Linked DNA regions of Anolis sagrei. The protein of the gene in region 3 purifies or fractionates together with the protein of the main gene of each other region. This does not show direct contact. Links are inferred from orthologs where the notes say so. Each region holds a gene or a part of one and is shown on either strand. Other genes may lie near its edges.

Region 1 (7,265 bases), on a different chromosome or scaffold from region 3:
CAGCTGGGCCAATGCTCCCAATAATAACCCATTAGTGATCTTTTAAAGCCATGGCTTTTGGCCAGCCTGCTCATATTGAGCTTGTGGACAGAGGTGGATGTCTAACAATGCTCACAGACTGTGGTGCAAACTTCTGCTCTCCAGGGTTGTATCCCAGCCAGGGAAAGCTGTACACCAAGCTGGTGCGTCCGCCCTCAGCCATGAGCACACTACAAATAGAATCATCGAGTTGGAAGAGACTTCATGGGTCATCCAGTCCCTTGCCAAGAAGCAGGACAATCGCATTCAAAGCCCCCCCCCCCCCCCAATAGATAGCCATCCAGCCTCTGTTTAAAAGCCCCCAAAGAAGGAGCCTCCACCAGACTTCGGGGCAAAGAGTTCCACTGCTGAACAGCTCTCACAGTCAGGAAGATCTTCCTAATGTTCAGGTGGAATCTGCTTTCCTGTCATTTGAAGCCATTGTTCTGTGTCCCAGTCTCCAGGGCAGCAGAAGACAAGCTTTCTCTCTCCACCCTATGACCTCCTCTCACATATTATCTCTCATCATGTCTCCTCTCAGTCTTCTCTTCTGCAGGCTAAATATGCCCAGCTCTTTAAGTCGCTCCTCATAGGGCTTGTTCTCCAGACCCTTGATCAATTTAGTCGCCCTCCTCTGGACACATTCCAGCTTGTTAATATCTCTCATCAATTGTGATGCCCAGAATTGGACACAGTATTCCAGGTGTAGTAAACCATTATTTTACTGACACAAAAATATAGTATGACACAACAAACGAGATATATATGCTGGATTTCGAGATCTCAGTTGGCATTTGGAAACAATAAACATTGACAAAATCATGATCTGTCAACTGCAAAAGGCCACCTTACTTGGATCTGTGCATATCATTTGAAAATATATCACACAGTCCGAAATGCTTGGGAAGTGTTCAGCTTGTTATTTTGTGATACGAAAGTAAGTCATTATTATTATTATTACTAGCTGTCCCCTGCCACGCGTTGCCGTGGCCCAGTTTGATGATCTGGAAAATAAAGTAATGAGAAAGTGTTGGATTCTAATATATGTAATTTCTATATGCTTGTGAGTAAACAGTATTTCTTGTTGTTTCTTTGTCAGTGTTGATGTGAAGATTGTCTGGTTTGCCTACTCTGGAACATGCAACATATCATTGTCCTTCTTTAGGGGTCCCTTTCAAATCTATGATACTATATCTGTGTGTGTGTGTGTGTGTGAATCATATATATCTATGTATATGTATGGCTGGATGGCTGTCAGGAGTGCTTTGATTATGTCTTCTTGCCCTGGTGAAGGGAGTTGGACTGGATGGCCTTAAGTATTTTCTGTTGGTCATGGAGGTTCTGTGTGGGAAGTTTGCCACAATTCGGTCGTTGGTGGGGTTCAGAATGCTCTTTGATTGTAGGTGAACTATAAATCCCAGTAACTACAACTCCCAAATATCAAGGTCTATTTCCCCCAAACTTCATCTGTGTTCATATTTGGACATATAGAACATTCATGCCCAGTTTGGTCCAGACCCGTCATTGTTTGAGTCCAAAGTGTTCTCTGGATGTAGGTGAACTACAACTCTCAAACTCAAGGTCAATGCCCACCAAAACTTTCTAGTGTTTTCTGTTGGTCTTGGAAGTCCTGTGTGCCAAGTTTGGTTCAATTCCATCGTTAGTGGAGTTCAGAATGCCCTTTGATTGTAGGTGAACTATAAATCCCAGCAAATACAACTCCCAAATGACAAAATCATAAGTTTTTGAGTGATGGTCACTCCTTGTATTGTGAGATGTTTTGTTGCAAAATTAGGTGTGATTTCGTTCATTGTTTTTTGTTTTGTTTTTAAGGTACTCATTATGCACAGAGCATTTATATATATATAGATTATTATTTGAAACACAACAAGATGAGTCCACAGCAGACACTCTGTTGGCTGTTGCATTGGATCACACGTCGGACACTTCCCAAGTGTCTAGGACTGTGTGATGTATTGGTGAATAATGTGTGCAGATCCCACTAAGGTGGCCTTTTGCAGCTGGCAGCTGGTAATTTTGTCAGTGCCTATTGTGCTTAAGTGCAAGCCAAGGTCTTTAGGCAGTGCACCCAGTGTGCTGATCACCACTGGGACCACCTTTGCTGGCTTGTGCCAGAGTCATCGTCATCGTTGTCATCATCATCATCATCATCAGATGACTGGAGGCCCACACACACACACACACAAGAAAACCCTATGGGCACTTTAATAAGCTTGGAAGGGGCAAGCTTATTTTCTGCTGCTGTTGAAACTAGGGAAGGGAGGAATTGATTCACACTGCAGGGAAAGAGATTCTCCCTAAACGTTGGGAAGGACTTCCGCATGGAGGTGTTTGACAGTGGAATGCACTGCCTTTGAACCTGTCTTCGGCTGTTTTGAAAAGCAGGTTGTGTGGGGCGTGCTTTGGTGGTGTCTTCCTGCCTGGCAGAATGGGGGTGGACCGGCCTTTCTCTTGCGGTCTCTTCCAAGTTGAGGAGTCTATGAAAGACTTGCCCTAAATCGACAGGCGAGGGAAAGCCACAGACAGAGAAAAGCAACGAGGAAGGCGTGCCGAGGCAGGCGGATTTTGAAGCGCTTGGGAAACTTCTGTCCCGCAGACGGAGGGGGAACTCTAGGTTTGTTTGTGTGTTTTCGTGTCCAGAGGAAGCTTAAGGCACAGGGGTGCGGGATCTTCAAGGAGGAGCTCCTTGGCGATGCTGGGAACGAGGGCAGAGCCATTTCGCCCCCATGGCTAGGCGTGGAAAAGCTCCACGGGCGGAGAGACTCTCCTGCTTCCCCGTAGGGCACTCCAGGCGCCTGTTTCTTCCCAAACGGGAGTGGAAAGCCCACGCAGACCTGCGACCCCCTTTCTCATTCCCCTAGTGAATACCTTGCTGAATACTTCCAGGTCCTCGTCGTCGTCCAAGTCCAGGAGCAGCGGGGCAGCCGAGTCCCCCGCCACGTCGCCGCCGCCCTCGGGCTCCATCGCCTTCCCCTCGCTGGATCTCCCTCTTGGAGGAGGAGGAGGAGGAGGAGGGCGATCCCCGGTTGGAGCCCCTCCTCTCGCCTTGGCTATTGGTCGCCTCCTCGCTTCGCCTTCCCTTTCCTGCGCGGCTGGGAAGGAAAGAAGCGAGGGAAGGAGGGGAAAGAGCCAGGAATGGCGGGGGAGGGAGGGAGGGAAGGAAGAGGGGATGGAGTCCGCGAAACCGCCCCCAATTCCCACTTTGGAGGGTCGCTTTGGAAAGCGGGGGCGGGGGGAGAGATCCAGACTTGACGAGTTGGTCCCAGCCTACTCTTCTCTAGTTTAGGAGGAGCAATCCTGCTTAATGCTTTGCAATCTTACTTTCCTAGCTTACTTTAAAACGCCTCTCTTTCTTCTTTCCAGCTGCCTCATTGGCTTTCTTCAGACTGAAATGAAAGTAGAACTCATCCCTCTGTATCAGTGGTTTCCAACCTTTTTTTTTGACCAGGAACCACTTTGATCAGGAACTACTTTGATCAGGGACCAGAGAGCACATTGACCAGGGACCACTTTGACCAGGGACCACTTTGACCTTTGACCAGGGACCACTTAGACCAGGGACCACTTTGACCAGGAACCACTTTGAAGCAGGGGCCATTTTGACCAGGGATCACTTTGACCAAAGACCACTCTGACCAGGGACCACTTTGACCAGGAGCCATTTTAACCAGGAACCACTTTGACCAGGAACCATTGTAACGAGGGACCACTATGACCAGGGACCACTACTTGGACCAGGGACCACTTTGACCAAGGACCATTTTGACCAGGGATCACTTTGACCAAGGACCACTCTGATCAGGGACCACTTTGACCAGGAACCATTTTAACCAGGGACCACTATGACCAGGGACCACTACTTGGACCAGGGACCACTATGACCAGGGACCACTACTTGGACCAGGGACCACTTTGACCAGGGACCATTTTGACCAGGGATTACTTTGGCCAGGGACCGCCCTCCAACATTAGTACCAAAAGACTGAATCAGTTTTTGGTCAACTTTGTGGGATTATTTGAGGCACTAATTCAGAAAATTGTATTGGATAGACCACATCAGCTCTAATTTCTGATACAGAATATATGCTATCCAGTAGTTGCCATCTGCTCACCCACAGAAAACCATATTTAATAATCTAGATTTGTTGTGGTCCATCCAATGCAATTTTCTGAATCAGCACCCAAAATAACCCCACAAACCTTCCCAATAAACAACCCAAGGAAATGTCCTGAAATTATTCCATGCAAAATCCAACTTTTCTGTAAGGTAGATATTAGAAGGTAAAGGTAAAAGTTTCCCCATGACATTAAGTCCAGTCATATCCAACTCTGGGGGTTGGTGCTCACTTCAATTCTAAGCTGAAGAGCTGGCATTGTCCGTAGATGCCTCCAAGGTCATGTGGCCAGCATGACTGCATGGAGCACTGTTACCTTCCCGCCAGAGCGGTACCTATTGATCTACTCACATTTGCATGTTTTCTAGGTTGGCAGAAACCAGGGCTAACAGTGGGAGCTCACACCGCTCCCCGGATTCGAACCTGCGACCTTTCGATAAGCAAGTTCAGCAGCTCAGCAGTTTAACCCACTGCACCACCGGAGGCTCCAATGATTAGATTTTTTATTCTGCTACATGAAAGTGACACTTTTTTTTTGCTCAGTTTCTTCTATGTACTAAATTGGAGATTAGTCTTCCTGACAGAAGCACGGCTTTACCCAACCAAAGTGCATGGCTGACACAGGAATGTGTGTATCTCCATTTTTCCAAGTGATTAGCTGGGAACTAAAGGATGCAACATTGCATTTATAGAGTGCCAATGGCAACATTTTTAAAACCCTTGCATAGCTCAGGCCTCAGTTGATGCTATCTGCAGTATTTCTGAATAAATGAAGCACTCACCTCTAGGATTTAAGGATGGCTGACACACATTTTCAAGCTTTTTATTTTTTTGGAATGCCTCACAATCAGTGAAACCACTTCTCCAGCTGCCAATGAAGGATCTATGTACTATCTCTTGATCATTGTTTTGAGGGTAGCATTTGTCCCCAAATATAAATCCACCACCAGGTATGATAAGCACAGTGTGAGGATCTTCTTGGTGGCTGAAACTCTCTTTGTAGGAAGGATAGAGCGTGTCTTTCTGCTTCCTCTTTTTCTGCCATTAGATTTTTTTAAAATCCCAGTAGTGTCTTGTGACTGTGTCCTTATATACTTTCAAGTCATCTGTCAACTCATGGTGACTCTATGGATTTTCTTAGGCAAGGGATACCCAGTGGTAGTTTTGCTACTACCTTCCTCTGAAATATAGCCAGCAACATAAAATCCATAGAATAACACATAATTGAAAGCCTTTCCTGCCAATAGTATTCATTGGCAGGAAAGGCATTCAATTATCTGTTATTCTATGGATTTTATTATTTTACTCTATCTATCTAGACACAATAAAACTGAAAATATGCATGTGTGTATGTGACTGGGGTGTCCCCTTACACAGACAAGCTCCCACCTCCACAAACAGCTATTGCTGTCACTATACAGGAGATACCAATAGGCCTTCCTCCAATAACATTACAGGTTACAACGAGTACCATGAAAATGTGCAAGAGCCCTGCCAATGTCCTTCACCAAAACCACACTTCCCACCACCCAAGTAAAAGCTTTCATTCAGGGACTAATTCACCCTAGTTTTGATGTGTTTCCTCCACCACAGGCATCCTAGTGTTTCTTACTCTCACCAATGGTGTGAAATTTGCTTAACCCCACCCACTGCCTCTCCCTTAACCCTTTCCTATTCTTTTCTATGGCACACAGAAAACAGAGGAATCGATCAGCAACTGAACATACTAGAGAGGTTTGGGGAGAATGCACTATGACTTATAGGAATTGTAGGTACTGGGATGCATAGTTCACCTGCAATCTAAGAACTGCAGTCTGAACCCTACCAACGATAGAACTGGAACAAACTTGGCACACAGAACCCCCATGATCAATAAAAAACACTGGAGGTCTTTGGAGGGAGTTCTGGGAGTTGTAGTTCACTTACATCCAGAGTGCACTATAAACTCAAACACATATAGATCTGAGCCAAACTTGGCATGCATACCTGATATGCCCAAATTTGAATACTGGTGAGTTTTGAGGGGAACTGGCCTGGACTGTTTAGAGTTGTAGGTACTGGGGTTTATAGTTCACCTGCAATCTATGAGCACTCTGAACTCCACCAAAATGGAATTGGATTAAACTTGGCGCATAGAGCCCCAATGACCAGCAAACATACTGGAGGTCTTGGGGGAAAATTCACCTTGATTTGGGGGAGTTGAAGTTCACCTACATCCAGAGAGCACTGTGAACTCAAACACTGGTGGATCTGGACCAACCTTGGCACACATACCTCATATGCCGAAATTTGATTACTGGAGGGGTTTAGGGGCGGGGGGAACTAACCTTCCTTTCTGGAAGTAGTAGTTCACCCACAACCAGAGAAACTGTGACCTCCGCCAATGACTAATCTGGACCAAACTTGGCCAGACCTACTGGGAGGGTTTAAGGGGACTGACTCACCATAGTGGGAGTTGTAGTTTACCCTGCAGTGAGAGAACACACTGAACCCCCAGCTGACATCAGATCTGGAACAAACTTGGCACGCAGATTCAACATGGCCAACTGTTCATACAGGCAGGGTTAGGGTGTGATTGACCTTGGATCTGGGAGTTGTAGTTCACCCTAATCCAGAGAGCACTGAACCCAGCCAATGTTGGATCTCGACCAAATTTGGCACACAGACCCAACATGGCTAACTATGAATACTGTTGGAGTTTGGGAAGGATAGACCCATGATTTTGGGAATTGTAGTTCACCCACTTATGAATTTTCTAATGGGAGCATTCATAACAAACAAAAGCGGCCTTACTGGTACATTATTTAAACTGTTATGTTTATTCATATCATGATCTGATCACCATGCTCAATATATCCCATATGCATGGGAGTATTGGGGTAATGATACAAAAGGTTTGCTAGGGTAGACCCTCTTTCACTCAGACTCAGCCCCCCGAATCAAACTCACTCTCCCCCCCCCCCCCCAATCAAAATCCTGGCTACGGGCCTGCAAAGTGATATTACCTAAAACCCCAAAACAAACAATACTTTTTTGAATAACTGGAGCATTGCCAGGTCCCCAAGCTAGTATATAATCTCTTCAATATTAAGTGAGTCAGAAGTCAGTTGG
Region 2 (7,847 bases), on a different chromosome or scaffold from region 3:
CTACATTCAGTTACTTTCAGGTTAGTGAGCATCAGGGTGGTCACATACATATATTGAGAAAGAGAGAGAAAATGTATCACCAAGAAAGAAGATAGCAGTATGCACCAATGTTTACAAATGCTACATTTTTAACTGTTAGTACCTGGGTAATAGATATATAGGTCAGCTAATGCCAGTTTCTTCAAATAGGAGACATATTGGGGTAGCAATTTTTCCCAATTTTACATCTGTGGATTTTATTGCAGGAGATGGCAAACCTGCATTGAAGCTGTATTTATCCTGCTGGTAGTTCCTCCCCATGATTAATTCCCACCTGGAACGATGGGGGAACTATGCGAGGATACCATTTGCAGACTTTAGATCTGTATTTAACACAATCCTCCCACATAGATCGGTGTCTAAATTTATAGATCTTGGATTATTATTATTATTATTATTATTATTATTATTATTATCTGCAATGGCTCAATGCTATGCTATGAAATCATGGGAACTGGAGCCCCTGGTGGTGCAATGGGTTAAACCCTTGTGCCTGCAGGACTGCTGACTGACAGTTCAGCAATTCGAGTCTGTGGCGAGCGGGTTGAGCTCCCTCTGTCAGCTCCAGCTCCCCATGCGGGGACATAAGAGAAGCCTCACATAAGGATGGTAAAACATCAAAATATCTGCGTGTCCCCTGGGCAACTTCCTTGCAGACGGCCAGTTTTCTCACACCAGAAGCGACTTGCAGTTTCTCAAGTTCCTCCTGACACGGAAAAAAAAAAGGCAATTGTGATTATAGAAGTTCTTTTGCCTTTGCCAAAGAGTAGTGATGTCTCACCAAACTACAACTCCCACGATTCCTTAGCATTTAGCCATGGCAGTTAAAGTCATGTCAAACTGCTTTAATCCTACATTGTAGATGCACTCCTTGTGACACCTTATTCTGTAACATCTTTCTACCTAAATCCAAGGAAGCTGTTACAGTTGTAAACTGGTGGTTTTCATCAGTAATGGAGTAGAGGAAATAAACTGAAACTTACCACCTCATCACACTGGGGCAAATTGCCCCTTTGCAGCACTTTGGGGATGGGGCCATCACATGATGCTCAGCAGACCCCACTCCATTGATGCTTGAAGTGCCAACGAAGCATGGCAAGATGCTTCCTCGGCCAGCATGCTTGGGTAAGTATTTTTCGTATGGCTCCAATAGAGCCACCTGCCTTTTTAACCTATTTCCCCATCTGATGGGGACAGGGACATGGCACAGGGGGAGGGACATAAAGACGAAAGTGTTTCTGGTCAGTACATAAGACAGATCAGGAAACAAGGTTTCAGACCATGCTAGATGGGGTTGTACTTCTAAAGATATGATTCACAGCATGGATGCGCTCTTGGATTGAACCCTGGCCCCGAGATCTCACGTTGTGGTAGCTAGAACAGCATTCATGCCATTTAAAGCAGCATCCATTAAATAAATATGGTCAAAGTGACACATTTTAGTTATATCTTATTTAGATTATTATATTGTGCTTAATATGACAAGTGTTCAGAAAATTCATTAGGTCCAAATACCTATAGCCTGATTACTGAATGTGGTTGGTTTCCTTTTTATAACCATACCATTGGCTACTTATGTTTCTAGTGAACATTGAAAGTGTTCATTGAATCTCTAAAGCGATCTATGTATCATACTTGGACTTAACCATGAATCCAAAAGGAAATCGAAAGTTACCTGGGAAGGTCAAGAGCTCTAACACTGTTTCCATCCTAAATATCTCGGCATCACCTTAGATTGAAAACTAACATTTAGGAAACACTGCATGAACACCAAGCATGAAGTAGCTGCACACAATAACATGTGGATTGCTGGTGCTTGGTTTTGGTCAAAAATTATTTCGCCACTTGTGCTCCTTATATTTTTATCAGTTATTATACTTATGTATGCAATGCTTTTGACACAAAATAAATAAATACATCATACTTGGAGGCCACATTGTTCCATATGAGTCTCTCTGGGCTTTGAGATCAAGGTTCTCTTGAATCCTTATTACACCATGCTGCTATATCCTCATATTAGTGATTTTATTCTGCCTTTATCTCAGATTTATCACATGATGTCATGGTTTTCCAAATGCTATTAGACTGCAAAAGTTATTGAAAATGTGATTTTTTTTCATGATAGAAAACTCCCTCTATGAATCATTAGTTGGCTTGAGTGCAGACATCTCATTTCATTGTGAGAATGATGTATTAGTGGGTGTACTGTGGGTGTGATCTGGTCATCCCTCCCAAGGAAATCTTCAGGAGGGAAATCTCAAACCGCTTCTGGTGCTAGGGCAGGGAGGAGAAGGCTTCCAAAGAGAACAACAGTTTTCTGGAGGGCTGACTGCACTTGACACCATAATAATTGTCTGATCAAATCTAAATTTATAGGCAAGACCTTGGCAACACAAAGATTGGCCTATCATTTCCAAAAACCTTCATCAGATGTTAATTTGCATGAAAATCCCAGAGCATACTGTTAACTGTTTCTTGGTATTTGCAGTCAAGTAAACAGAGGTTCTTTTTCTGAAGCAGTTAGCATCAGACTTGAAGATCAGACCATCATGTATTGGAGCAAACCCCAGAAAAGATAATTTTAATCAAATGACTGACAGAAAAGATTAGCAAACCGAAACACACACACACGGAGCTGCTTATTTTACAGTGAGAACTAAATTACAGTTGGTGGATCATTGGCTGTATCTGCCCATTAAAATCAATGAAATTTGACATCACTTTAACTGCCGTGGCACCATGCTATGGAATCATGAGAGTTGTAGTTTTACAAATGTTTGCTGCCAGAGTATTGATGCTTCACCAAACTACAAATTCTAGGAGTTCATAGCATTGAGCTATGGTAGTTAAAATGGTGTCAAACTGCATTAACTATGCAGTGTATATGCACTCCTAGAGATTTTGCTATGATCTGATGGAAATTATGCATTATCAACAGATAGGAAAGGTGCTGGATATTCTCTGTTCTGATGAATTAGATGTGTATGTAAAGGGGGAGAGAGTGATTTAACCAGTAAGAATAAACATATGCACATGCATGTATATATAAGCCTGTATGCATTTAAAATATTTTTGGGGCAGCCATTGACTGATGGATTTTGCAGTTATGCATACAGCAAGCTGAGACTTATGTTGATGCTAAGTGGCAGATATAGAGGCACCTTCTAATATTTAGGGAATAATTGTTTTTTGTGACATAATTAATAGTTGTATATTTTGTTACAAACATAATACATAACTATTTATTGTTTATTATGTTTATTTATATCCCACTTTTTATCTTATGGAGACTCAAAGCAGCTCACTGTTAAAAGCATTACAATACAACTTAAAATATACAAAACTTCTGCTGCCCTGGCGACTAGGGTCCCTTTCACACAGCCCTATATTCCAGAATATCAAGGCACAAAATCCTACATTATCAGAGGGCCCTTCCACACATCCATATAACCCAGAATATCAAGGCAGAAAACCCCACAATATCTGCTTTGAACTGGGTTATCTGAGTCCACACTGCCGTATAACACTACCGTATGTGGGATTTTATTCAGCTGTGTGGAAGGGGCCAGAGTGTAGATTCAGATAACCCAGTTCAAAACAGATATTGTGGGATTTTCTGCCTTGATATTCTGGGATATAGGGCTGTGTGGAAGGGTCCTAGGACATGGAGCAATGGCTTCAAACTACAGGAAAGGAAATTCCACCTGAACATGAGGAAGAACTTCCTGACTGTAAGAGCTGTTTAGCAGTGGAACTATCTGCCACGAAGTGTGGTGGAGACTCCTCCTTTGGAGGTTTTAAGCAGAGGCTGGGTGGCCATCTGTCAGGGGTGCTTTGAATGTGATGTTCCTGCTTCTTGGCAGGGGGTTGTACTGAATGGCCCACGAGGATTTTTTGCCTTGATATCCTGGGATACTGGGCTGTATGGAAGGGCCCTTAGATAAACCAGTTCAAAGCAGATATTGTGGGATTTTCTGCCTTGATATCCTGGGATACTGGGCTGTATGGAAGGGCCCTCAGATAACCCAGCCCAAAGCAGATATTGTGGGATTTTCTGCCTTGATATTCTGGGATAGAGATCTGTGTGGAAGGACCCTCAGAAATCTTTATTTCCCTCACAACTGGTGCAATTCATGGCTTCTTCCCCAGAAGTAGACACACACAAGTAAACAGTGTCTTTGGCAAATGGGGTGTGCCTTGTGTGAGTAGTTGAGGGGGGAAAGTGTTGCTGTTATTTTAATTGGAGATATTCCTCAGAAATGCCTCAAAAACCTTAATCTTCCTCACAACAGGGACAATTCGTAGCAACAAGGAGTGTCTTTAGCAAATGCGTGTGTAGATGAGCAGGGGAAGAAGGGGTTGCTGTTGTTTTAACGAAACATATCTTCGAGTTTCCCTCAGAAACCTTTTTCATTTCCCTCACAAGAGGGGACCATTCAAGAGTGGTCAGGCAGCTTGAAGGGACCAACGCAGGCAGAAAGACACACGTCATGGTAAACGGGGCGTGACTGTGTGTGTGTGGGAAGGAGGAAGGGAGAGAAAAAGGTGTTGTTGTTGTGGTGATGGGAGTGTTTCCACTCCTCCCTCCTCCCCCCTCCCCTTTTAACGGACATCTTCCATTAAGAGACTACAAATTCAACCCAGAGGGCCAAGGAAGGGGGTGGGGCGACGCGAGAGAGCGTGTGTCAATCACAGCCCCCTCGGCCTATAGGCGCCCGCGATAGCCAGAGTGGGCGGGGCCCCGCCGCAGTACTCTCTCCGGGTGAAAGCGCTGCTACGTTGTCTCGAGCAGCTTTCCTGTCAGGCGGGCGGGCCTTTCCTTCTCTCTCTCTCTCTCTCCCCCTCTCTCTGTGTTTGGCAAGGCGCTCTCGCTCTCCGCCCGCCCGCCTGCCTCTGGGAGTCGTTGCCTGCCTCCTGCTGCCCAGCTCGGCCTCGGGGAAGCTTGGGCCCCGCGTCCGCTCCGCCTCCCCGCGATGTCTGCAGCCGGGGGCGGCGGGGCGGGGACTCCCAAGGCGCTGCCTTCCTCGGGACCCAGGTCGCTGCGGGACATGCCGCACCCGCTGGCCGCCTCCAGCAGCGAGGAGGCCGGGGGGGACCTCACGCCCAGCCCCGAGCTGCAGCTCCCGAGGAGCCTGGCCGACAAGGTGGGGGCGCGCGCGCTTCAGGAGGGAGGGGGGAGGAGGAGGGGGCTTTCCTCTGGGAAGGGAGGGGCAAGAGGCGCCCCCTTCCCCCGTTGCTTCTTGGACCATCTTGGGATGTTCCTTGCCTTCTGGGGGGGGGGGGGGGGATCTACGCCAGGCATTGGCAAACCTCGGCCCTCCAGGTGTTTTGGACAACACAAAATCACATTTATACAAACACACATATATACACATATACACAAATATATACACACACAAAACACATATACACAGAATTGTGGGAGTTCAAGTCCAAAACACCTGAAGGGCCGAGGTTGTTGTTGCTATTATTATTGTTATTATGTTTATTTAAATCCCGCTTTTTCTCTCCCCATACGGAGACTCCAAGCGGTTCACAATTAAAACGATTGCTATGCAACTTAAAATACCTATATAAATAAAAAGGTAATGTTCATTTGTGGGATTAACATAACTCAAAAACCACTGGACGACTTGACACCAAATTTGGACACAAGACACCTTAGGCCAGTGGTTCTCAACCTTTCTGATGCCACGACCCCTTAATACAGTTCTATATGTTGTGCTGACTCCCAACCATGAAATTATTTTTATTGCTACTTCATAACTGCAATTTTCCTACTGCTAGGAATCATAATGTAAATAAGTAATATGTAAGATGTATTTTAATTCAGTGGACCAAATTTGGCACAAATACCCGATACGCCCACATTTGAATACTGGTGGGGTGCGGTGGGGGGATTGATTTTGTCATTTGGCAGTTGTAGTTGCTGGGATTTATAGTTCACCTTCAATTAAAGAGCATTCAGAACTCTACCAACGATGGAATTGAACCAAACTTGGCACACAGAACTCCCATGACCAACATAAAATATTGAAAGTGTTGGTGGACATTGACCTTGAGTTTTGGAGTTGTAGTTCACCTACATCCAGAGAGCATTGTGGACTCAAACAATCATAGATCTGGACCAAACTTGACACGAATACTCAATACGCCCAAATGTGAACACTGGTGGAGTTTGGGGAAAATAGAACTTTGCATTTGGGAGTTGTAGTTGCTGGGTTTTATAGTTCACCTATAGTCCCTTGACCCCACCAATGATAGAAGTGGGCCAAACTTCCAACACAGAACCCCCGTCACCAACAGAACTTATTGGAGTGATTTGGGATGAATTGACAGTGATTTAGGGGAGATGTAGTTCACCTTCCACCTTTCCGATGGGTCTTTGGCGACTCCTCGGACAATCCCTCGTGACCCCCCCCCCCAGGGGTCCCGACCCCCAGGTTGAGAAACGCTGCCTTAGGCCAATGAGTGACCATCACTCATAAAAAAACTGAAAAACACAGCAGAAGAGGCTTAAAAAGCCAAAAAAATAAAAAATACATTACAACATATGCGCAAAACCACATATATACACAAACACACATATATACACATATACACAAATATACACATACATATATGCATATGTACACACACAAAACACATATACACAGAAAGGGGGAAGGAAGGAGAGAAAGAGGGAAAGAAGAAGGAAAGGAGAGAAGGAAGGCAAGAAAGGAAGGTAGAGAAGGAAGGAGAAAAGGAAATAAAGTGAAAGAAGGAAGGAAAGAGAAAGGGAAGAAAGGAGAGAAGGAATGAAAGAGGGAGGGAAGGAAGGAGACAAGGAAGGGTGGAACCAAAGAGCAAAGAAAGGGAGGAAAGAAACAGAGAAGGAAGAAAGATGAAGGGAAAGAAAAAGAGGAGGAAGGAAAGAGGGAAGGAAGGAGAGAAAGAGGGAGGGTAGGTTGGCCACAGCAACGCATGGCAGGTGCAGCTAGTACAAATATAAAAGTATTAAAACAGTAAAAACATTTCACAACCTCTGAGGATGCTTGCCATAGATGCAGGCGAAATGTCAGGAGAGAATGCTTCTAGAACATGGCCATATAGTCCGAAAAACCTACAACAACCCAGTAAAAACATCATTCAAGATGCATGAATTTATTTATTTACTAGCTGTCCCCTGCCACACGTTGCTGTGGCCCAGTCTGTGCATATGTATTTTGTGTGTGTATATATTTGTGTAGGGGAAAGGTAAAGGTTTTCCCCTGACATTAAGTCCAGTCGTGTCCGACTCTGGTGGGTGGTGCTCATTTCCATTTCTAAGCCGAAGAGCCGGAGTTGTCTGTAGACACCTCCAAGGTCATGTGGCTGGCATGACTGCATGGAATGGCGCTACCTTCCCATCAGAGCGGTACTTATTGATCTCACATTTGCATGTTTTTGAACTGCTAGGTTGGCAGAAGCTGCCGCTCCCCAGATTTGCACCCATGACATATGTGTGTTTGCATATATATATGTGTGTTTGTGCATGTGTTGTAATGTATTTTTTGGGGTTTTTTTTGGATTTTTAAGTCCCTACCACTGTGTTTTTCAGTGTTTTATGAGTGCTGGTCACTTGTTGGCCTGATAGGTGTATTATGTCTGAATTGGTGTCAGTTCGTCTAGTGGTTTTGGAGTTATATTAATCTTACAAATGAACATTACATTTTTATTTATATAGATTGTGTTGTTGAAGGCTTTAATGGCTGGAATCACTGGATTGCTGTGAGTTTTCCGGGCGATATGGTCATGTTCAAGAAGCAGTCTCTCCTGACATTTCGCCC
Region 3 (7,651 bases):
TTTGACCGGGCTTGTCCCCATGTAAGTTGCCCTGAGTCCCTTCAGGAAGATGGTGGTGGGATGCAAAAATATAGTTGTTGTTGTTATTATTATTATTTCTTCTGAAGAGTTTAGGGTACTACATTTGGCTCTCCCTTCCCCAATGAAGTGCCAAAACATTCCTAGGAAGTACATCAGGCAGTGTGTGATTGGCACAAGCTTGTCCAATGAAATTCACAGCCCAGTGGGGACTAGAAGCTTAGAAGTAGAGTAAGCCAAGTTTCATGAAAGCTGATGTTAAATATTAAAGACTACTGTCATTGCAGGTGCCTCATGATTGCAGCACAAAGGCGGCTAAATAGCCCATTGTTGTTAAGTGGTTTTCGTACCAAGGGAAAGAGCAATGGACAAAGAAAAGAAGAGCTCCCAGCTGATGCAGCTTTCTTCTTTATCATATGCCACACTGTGCCTGCCAGAATTCCCAGTTATGGCCAACTCTCAAATAGGCTGGTTCTACACTGTAGAAATAATGCATTCTGATTCCACTTTAATGCTGTATAATCGTGAGAGATGTCGTTTGGTGAGACAACAGCACTCATTGTCTTGTAAAACAACAACTCCTAGGATTGCATAACATTGAGTCAAGGCAGTTACAAGTTGTTAAACTGCAATAATTCCTCAGTGTAGATTTACCCAAAGAAACAGGTAGCAATGCAGAGCCCTCCCAGGTGTTGCGCCTATCTTTCCCTCCAACTCGCCCCCTCCTCTATCCCCACCACTCCCAATGCCTCTCAATATGTGTACGTACCTTCAAGGTGCCTGTTGACTTATAATAATAATAACTTTATTCTTATACCCTACCACCATCTCCCCGAAGGGACTCGGGACTGCTTACATAGAGGACAAAATGCCCATAAAAACACAAATACAAAACAATCAATTCAAACAAAAACGCAGTTAAAATAAAACATAGTAAAATATAACAATCCAGATTAAACCACATTTAAATAACACATAAACTATAAAACATCAGCATTGAAACTCAGTCAAAACAAGTGCAACTGGTGGGGATGACAGATAGGGCCTTTTCAGTGATGGCCCATTGGCTGTGGAACACCATTCCTAGCGACATCAGGTCAGCCCCCTCCCTCCTCACTTTCGGAAGGAAAGTAAAATCTTGGCTCTGGGACCAGGCTTTCAAAGACTAGTGTGGTGCAATATAAATTGAATTATATGCAACTGACTATGTAATCGACCTTGGACCATGATTTTTGGATGGTGTGATTTTAATACTGAATGTAATTTTTAAATGTTTAACTTGTATCAATGTTAACTCAACTGTTTTTAAGTTTTTAAATATCTGTATATGTTGCAAGGCATTAAATAATTGCCATATGTAAGCTGCCTTGAGTTCCCTTCGGGGTAGAGAAAGGTGGGGTATGAAAAGAATAAATAAACAGCACGTTTCTGTTTTTATGATGTTATATTTTATTGTGATATGCTCTTACATTGTTTTCTTTTGATTTGATTTTATTGTGTTATGTTTTAATTCTGTGCTCTTTGGGTTTGTCCCCTTGTAAGCTGCCCCGAGTCCCTTTTGGGGAGATGGAGGCAGGGTATAAAAATTAAGCTATTAGATTATTATAAGGGTAAATAATAAATTAATAAATAAATAACAATACTCAGCAAAACCAATTGCCAGTAGTACAGCAGGTGTGATCAGTCTATAAAGGGCTGGGCATTTTATTTATTTATTTCCAACATTTCTACCCCACTCTTCTCAACCCCTGAGGGGGGACTCAGAGCCGCTTACATTGGCAACAATTTGATCCCACAACGTACAAAACAATTATAACAGATATAACAATTAAAAACAGTAAATTAAAAACAATTTAAAACATTAACATAACATACACTGTACAATAGGGCCGGTTACTGGATGAATGACAAAATATCAGGCAACCTAGGTACTGGACACTTATAAGGAGGGGCTAGGCGTCCCCAAATGCAAGCTGAAAAATCCTGGTTTTCAAATCCCTGTGAAAGGAGGACAATGTGGGAGCTTGCCTAATCTCCCTTGGGAGGGACTTCCTAAATTGGGGGGGCCACCACCCTTATGGAGCACTCCATGTATTTATAGCAGGCCTGGGCAAACTTGGGCCTTCCAGGTGTTTTGGACTCCAACTCCCACCATTCCTAACAGCCTACCGGCCTACCAAGTTTGCCGGCTATTAGGAATTGTGGGAGTTGGAGTCCAAAACACCCGGAAGGCCCAAGTTTGCCCATGCCTGATTTATAGGGTTTCCTTAGGCAAGAGACAGTCAGACACCGCCTCTGAAATACATCCAGCAGCAGAACTTGGTATTTGTGAACAGTCTCCAATCCAAATACTCAACAAAACTGACCCTGGTTATCTCCCAAGTGGTGAGATCTGGAACCACTGGGGATATTTTGGCCCTCTCTCCTCTTCCCCAATTATATTAAATGCTTGGGATTTTCAATGGTTCTCAACCTGTGGGTTCAACTCCCAGAAACCCTAATAACTAGAAAACTGGCTGGGATTTCTGGGAATTGTAGGCCAAAACACCTGGAGACCCACAGGTTGAGAACCACTGACACGAGGGATGGGCAAACTTGGGCCCTCCAGGTGTTTTGGACTACAACTCCCACAATTCCTAGCGGCAGCATCAACACCACTCCTCGCCCTTCTCCGTGGGGCTAGGCCTCCTTTCCCTCCTCCTCCTCCTCCTGGCCCCTCACCGCGTAGGCTGGTGCTGCCAGTCCCCCGGCGCTCCCGGCCGCCTTGGCGGGCCTCCCTTCGTGCCCGTCAGCGGCCTGCCTCTCTCCGGGGCCCGGGCTGGAAGGCGCCTCAGGCTCGGCGCCTCCGCCCTGGCTGCCGCTACTGCTGCTCCCGCTCTCCCCGCTGCTGCTCCCCTCGGCGCCGCTGCTGTTGCTGCCACTGCCGGGGCTCTGGGCCCCCGGATGGGGCGCCTCCATTGAGGAAGGCGGCGGGCAGGAGGAGGAGGAGGCGCCGCCAGCAAAGACCGCTCGGCCGCCGACGGCGCATGCGCAGAGCGAGCCGCGAGGAAGGGAGGGGGCGTGGCCTCGGGGAGGAGGAGAAAGAGAGGGAGGAAGGGAAGGGTGAAAGGGAGGGGTTAGGCCAATTACAGTAGTTTATCTGACTGCTTACAAAGTCACAGGAGAACACCTCAGCCTAGAGCAGTAGTTCTCATCCTGTGGGTGCCCAGATGGTTTGGCCTTCAACTCACAGAAATCCTAACAGCTGGTAAACTGGCTGGGAATCCTGGGAGTTGTAGGCCAAAACACCTGGGGACTCACAGGATGAGAACCACTGGTAGAAGGGAAAGGATGGGGAGAAGGCAGGGAAGGGAAGAAAGGTAGGATAGAGAAAAAGGGAGAATGAAAAGGGAATGAAGAGAAAGGGAAAGGAAGAGGGGAAGGATGGAAGGAAGAGAGAGGGGGAGGAAAGAAAGAAGAGAAAGGGGAAGGAAGAGAAAGAGGAGAAGGAAGGAAAAGAAAGGGGAAGGAAGAGGGGAAGGAGAGAAAAGAAAGGGGAAGAGAGGAAGGAAGAGGAGAAGAAGGGAAGGGAAGGAAGGGGAAGGATAGAAGAGATGAAGGAAGAGAAAGAGGGGAAGGAGAGAATAGAAAGGAAAGAAAAAGGGTATAAGAATGAAATTGGAAAGATCAAATGGTACAGGCAGCCTTTTGATAGACATCTGATTGTCTTGCTGTTTCTGTCCAGTGCGGCCGCACTTGAAAAATAAAGAGATTTTTGCTTCAAACCTCATGGAGACTGGCTGTCTTTTTAAGATTCACATTTAAACTATTGAAAGAGTTCCCTTCAGAAGGAAGAGGGAAGGAAGGAAGAGAAAGGAGAAGGGTGGAAAAGAAAGGAGAAGGATGGAAAAGGGGAAGGAAGAGAGGAAGGAAGAGAAGAAGAAAGGAAGAGGAAGAGGGGAAGGAGAGAAGAGAAAGGGGAAAGAAGAAGAAAAGGAAGGAAGAGAAAGGGGAAAGATGGAAGAGGGGGAGGAAGGGAGGAAGAGAAAGAGGAGAGGGGAAGGATGGAAGAGGGGAAGGAAGAAGAGAAAGGGGAAGAAGGGAAGACAAAGGGGAAGGAAGAGAAAGAAGGGAAGGATGGAAGAGAGAAGGATGGAAGAGAAAGAGAAAGAATGACAAGTCATTTATGACTTATGATTATTCTACAGTGAACCTATCACAGGGTTTTTGTTGGTAGAATTGCTTTGCCTTTGCAGTTCTTTGAGGCTGAGAGAGTATGACTTTTTTAAAAGGTGACTATGGGTTTCCATGTCCAAGCAAGGATTCAAACACTCATCTCCCTGTATCCTAGGGTGCATCTACACTAGAATCAATGTTGATTGACTCTACTTAATGCAATAGAATCCTTACAGTTTTACAAGGTCTTTGGCCTCCTCTGCCAAAGGGTGCTGCTGCCTCCCCAGACTACAACTCCCGGTATTCCATAGCATCCAGCCATGGTGGTTAATGTGGTCTCAAACTGCATTCATTTTATTGTGTAGATACACTCCTAGCCCAACCCTCAAACCACAGACATCACAAGTTTTTCTGGGGTGGACATTAAGACAAGACAAAACCAGGCAACCTGCCCGCCTTGTTCTGTATTATTCAACTCTGAGATTACCAGCTCGAAAAAGAAAAAAATCAACAACATGGGGCTCAACATACTTGCATGTGCCAGTTCAATCCCCCTTTGTACTCCCATAAATAAAGATGGGGATACCAGATTCTCTTTCACTTGGGACCCAACCATAACAATTAGTGCTTGATGGGGTATATATGATATTCACATCAGCATTTCATGTAAATCGATGATGCAGATTCAAAAAATGCACATCCTTTAAAATTCACATGTAATTGATGCAAAAGACATATCTTAATGTTCATCTAGCATAAACATCCCAAAGACCACAGTATAATGGGAAGCAGATTTTGGGCGACAGTGTGCAACCATGCATAAAATGGACTTAGGTTAATGAAACAAATCTTAAATCAATCCTACTCTAAGGGCACTTTTGCAGTTCGCATAATCAAAGGGAGATTTTGTGCCAAGAATTGTTCAGTTATAAATGCCTGGGAAACTCTTTTAATTGCAGTGAAAAGGCAAAGGTAACAATAAAATAATCTCGGAAGAAATTTGTACAAACATTGAAGACAACAGAATAGAAACCAGATACACTGAAAGCACTCTATGGGTCTGTAAAATGATCTTGGAGTTTATTTTAACTGGAGTTGTGAAAGGAAGATGGGTTCGAGAGGGCAAATGCATGCAAGCTTAGCTCAGTATGGCTGTTTTGCCTTCTTAAAACTGAGTAAACCAGCTAATTTGGAAAATCATTCAGAGCCAATGGCTGATGGTAAGGTTTAAAGGGACAATGCAAAGAAACAAAGATGTCTTAATTGCAGGGAGAACAGGTAAGAGTTTGGTCCTTCATATTTGCAGCATGAACAAAATAAAGTTTCCAAGAGAACAAAATGAAAGCACGATAACACTAACTCATCAACATGCACTTCAATGGAAGACTGATGAATGTAAAGTTACTAGATGAAACAAAAACAGGGCTCCTGTCACTTTAACTGTTGAGTAGAATGCTTTCATGAACTGCTGATTTTTTCTCTTCTATATAATGATAAAAGATACATAACTCTTATTATTTCACTTGGCAACCCAATGTGACTTTTAAGCAGTGGTAAATAAGGCTATACCTTCTGAAGATGGAACATAGCTTCATGTAACTGAACTCATTTCTTTTGATACATTGACATTGTAATGGAGTACTTTGACTGATTTCTGACTTAGAACAATGCTAAAGTGGGTCGACTGAGACTGATGTGAATATGTTCCTTTGGGATGACATTCATATTTCAAATGGTGCCTGCCGTAACTCTGTGTCTGTCTCCCTTTTTTATGCGCACCTCCAATCCCTTCACAATGCATTTCAGAGGGAACCATGCCTGTCCTGATCTTCTCTTTTGAATTTCTCTTTGCTTGTGGAACACAGTGGCAAAATGCTTGCCTTGTGAAAATCAAAGCAAACAAACCAATCCCACATGAAAAGATACATTCAAAGTATATGTATTAGCATATAATGTCTGACATTCATTGTAACCTCGTTGGTATACTTCATTCAGTAGGGCAAACCTGGAATTCACAACACAACTTGTTATCAACTAAACTGAAAGCAATTATCAAAGGTGGCCTGCCCAGCATTCATGTTTTTTCAATCATACTGAAGCTACAAAATTGTCAGAGATTGAGAGCACACAACTAGCTGCACTACAAGCAGCTTCATAGGTTGTGCTCATATCAGTTTTCACCATCACTGCATTTCTAGAAATAGCAAGTTTTAAAATGAAGCAACAAAATGTAAAGAAGAATAGGTATTTGCAAAAAGGGCAAAGATGAGTACAGCCATATTTTTAAAAAGAATCTAACTTTTTTTCTAACTGTGTTAGAAAAGGGAACATACTGAGACATTCATGGCATTTATTAAGTTCATAAGATCTTGTTTAAAAAGTCTTTTCCAAAACTCTGGCTGTTGGACACAGCTTGAGAAAAGAGCATTCAGAGTGAAGAAAATACACTGTTGTTACTGATAAATAAAATATTAACTGCTTTTAAAGGCTAATGTATGAAATTGAAATGACTACTTAAGTTGTGTTGCAGATAGATGGTGGATGGATAGATGGATATCTTTAAAAGAGCAGATGTGGAGATGTTGGGCTCTGCACATCTACTCAGAAGTAAGCTCTACTGAGTATGGAACTTACTCTTCAGTATAGGACTATACCCTAAATAACTTTTTTACAGTTTTCGTCAAGTTGAAACCATCTCATTTCTTTATATTGCAGCCATCATTTGAGAACAGCTTCCAATTAGTTACTGAATTATTTTATTGCTCTGATACAGCTGCATTGCACATACATGGAAGGTGGAGTGTTACTTTAACCGATCCCTTGTTGTCCGAGTACGATGGCCTTACAAGTGTAGGGTCTTGGCGGTGGATTCATAGGTGACTGTAGAGCCCTATTCTTGACCCACACGTTCTTCCACAGTGAGGACATCAGTTTCCAGGTAGAAGGCAGTTCCGGTAAGGGTTGGCTTGGCATGCCTTCCTCTTGGCATGCTTCTCCCTTTCGTCCTCCATTTGTGCCTCTTCAAATTCCACAGCACTGCTGGTCACAGCTGACCTCCAGCTAGCACTCAAGGGCCAGGATTTCCCAGTTCTCAGTGTCTATGCCACAGTTTTAACGGTTAGCTTTAAGCCCATCTTTAAATCTCTTCCTGTCCACCAACATTACATTTCCCATTCTTGAGTTGGGTGTATAGTAACTGCTTTGGGAGATGGTGATCTGCCATCCGGACAACATGGCCAGTCCAGCAGAGTTGATGGCAGAGGAGCATCGCTTCAGTGATAATGGTCTTTGATGCAGCTGCATTGAACATACATGAAAGATGGAGTGTTACAGCATTACTGTAAGCACTGCTGAATTTCACACACATCACTGAGGGCCCTTCTGCACAGACATGTAACCCAGAATATCTGCTTTGAACTGGGTTTTTTCTCAGTCCACCCTGCCATATATCGCAGTTCAAAGCCAATGATATGGGATT

What was found.
Region 1: the proteins of SNX4 (region 3) and SNX7 purify together in Homo sapiens (affinity purification with mass spectrometry; 3 studies listed by BioGRID and IntAct, counting the BioPlex papers as one, with this or other methods). This does not show direct contact. The link is inferred for Anolis sagrei from reciprocal best matches to the Homo sapiens genes SNX4 and SNX7.
Region 2: the proteins of SNX4 (region 3) and SNX30 purify together in Homo sapiens (co-immunoprecipitation; 4 studies listed by BioGRID and IntAct, counting the BioPlex papers as one, with this or other methods). This does not show direct contact. The link is inferred for Anolis sagrei from reciprocal best matches to the Homo sapiens genes SNX4 and SNX30.

What each region holds. Positions count from the first base shown.
Region 1 is NC_090024.1:149,072,017-149,079,281, reverse strand, and holds the start of SNX7 (sorting nexin-7), read right to left. Parts: upstream 3,058-7,265; 5' UTR 3,004-3,057; coding exon 2,908-3,003; intron 1-2,907. UniProt on the Homo sapiens protein: Involved in the regulation of endocytosis and in several stages of intracellular trafficking. Together with SNX4, involved in autophagosome assembly by regulating trafficking and recycling of phospholipid scramblase ATG9A.
Region 2 is NC_090022.1:207,183,528-207,191,374, forward strand, and holds the start of SNX30 (sorting nexin-30), read left to right. Parts: upstream 1-4,772; 5' UTR 4,773-5,012; coding exon 5,013-5,183; intron 5,184-7,847. UniProt on the Homo sapiens protein: Involved in the regulation of endocytosis and in several stages of intracellular trafficking. Together with SNX4, involved in autophagosome assembly.
Region 3 is NC_090021.1:218,969,967-218,977,617, reverse strand, and holds the start of SNX4 (sorting nexin-4), read right to left. Parts: upstream 3,030-7,651; 5' UTR 2,977-3,029; coding exon 2,740-2,976; intron 1-2,739. UniProt on the Homo sapiens protein: Involved in the regulation of endocytosis and in several stages of intracellular trafficking. Plays a role in recycling endocytosed transferrin receptor and prevent its degradation.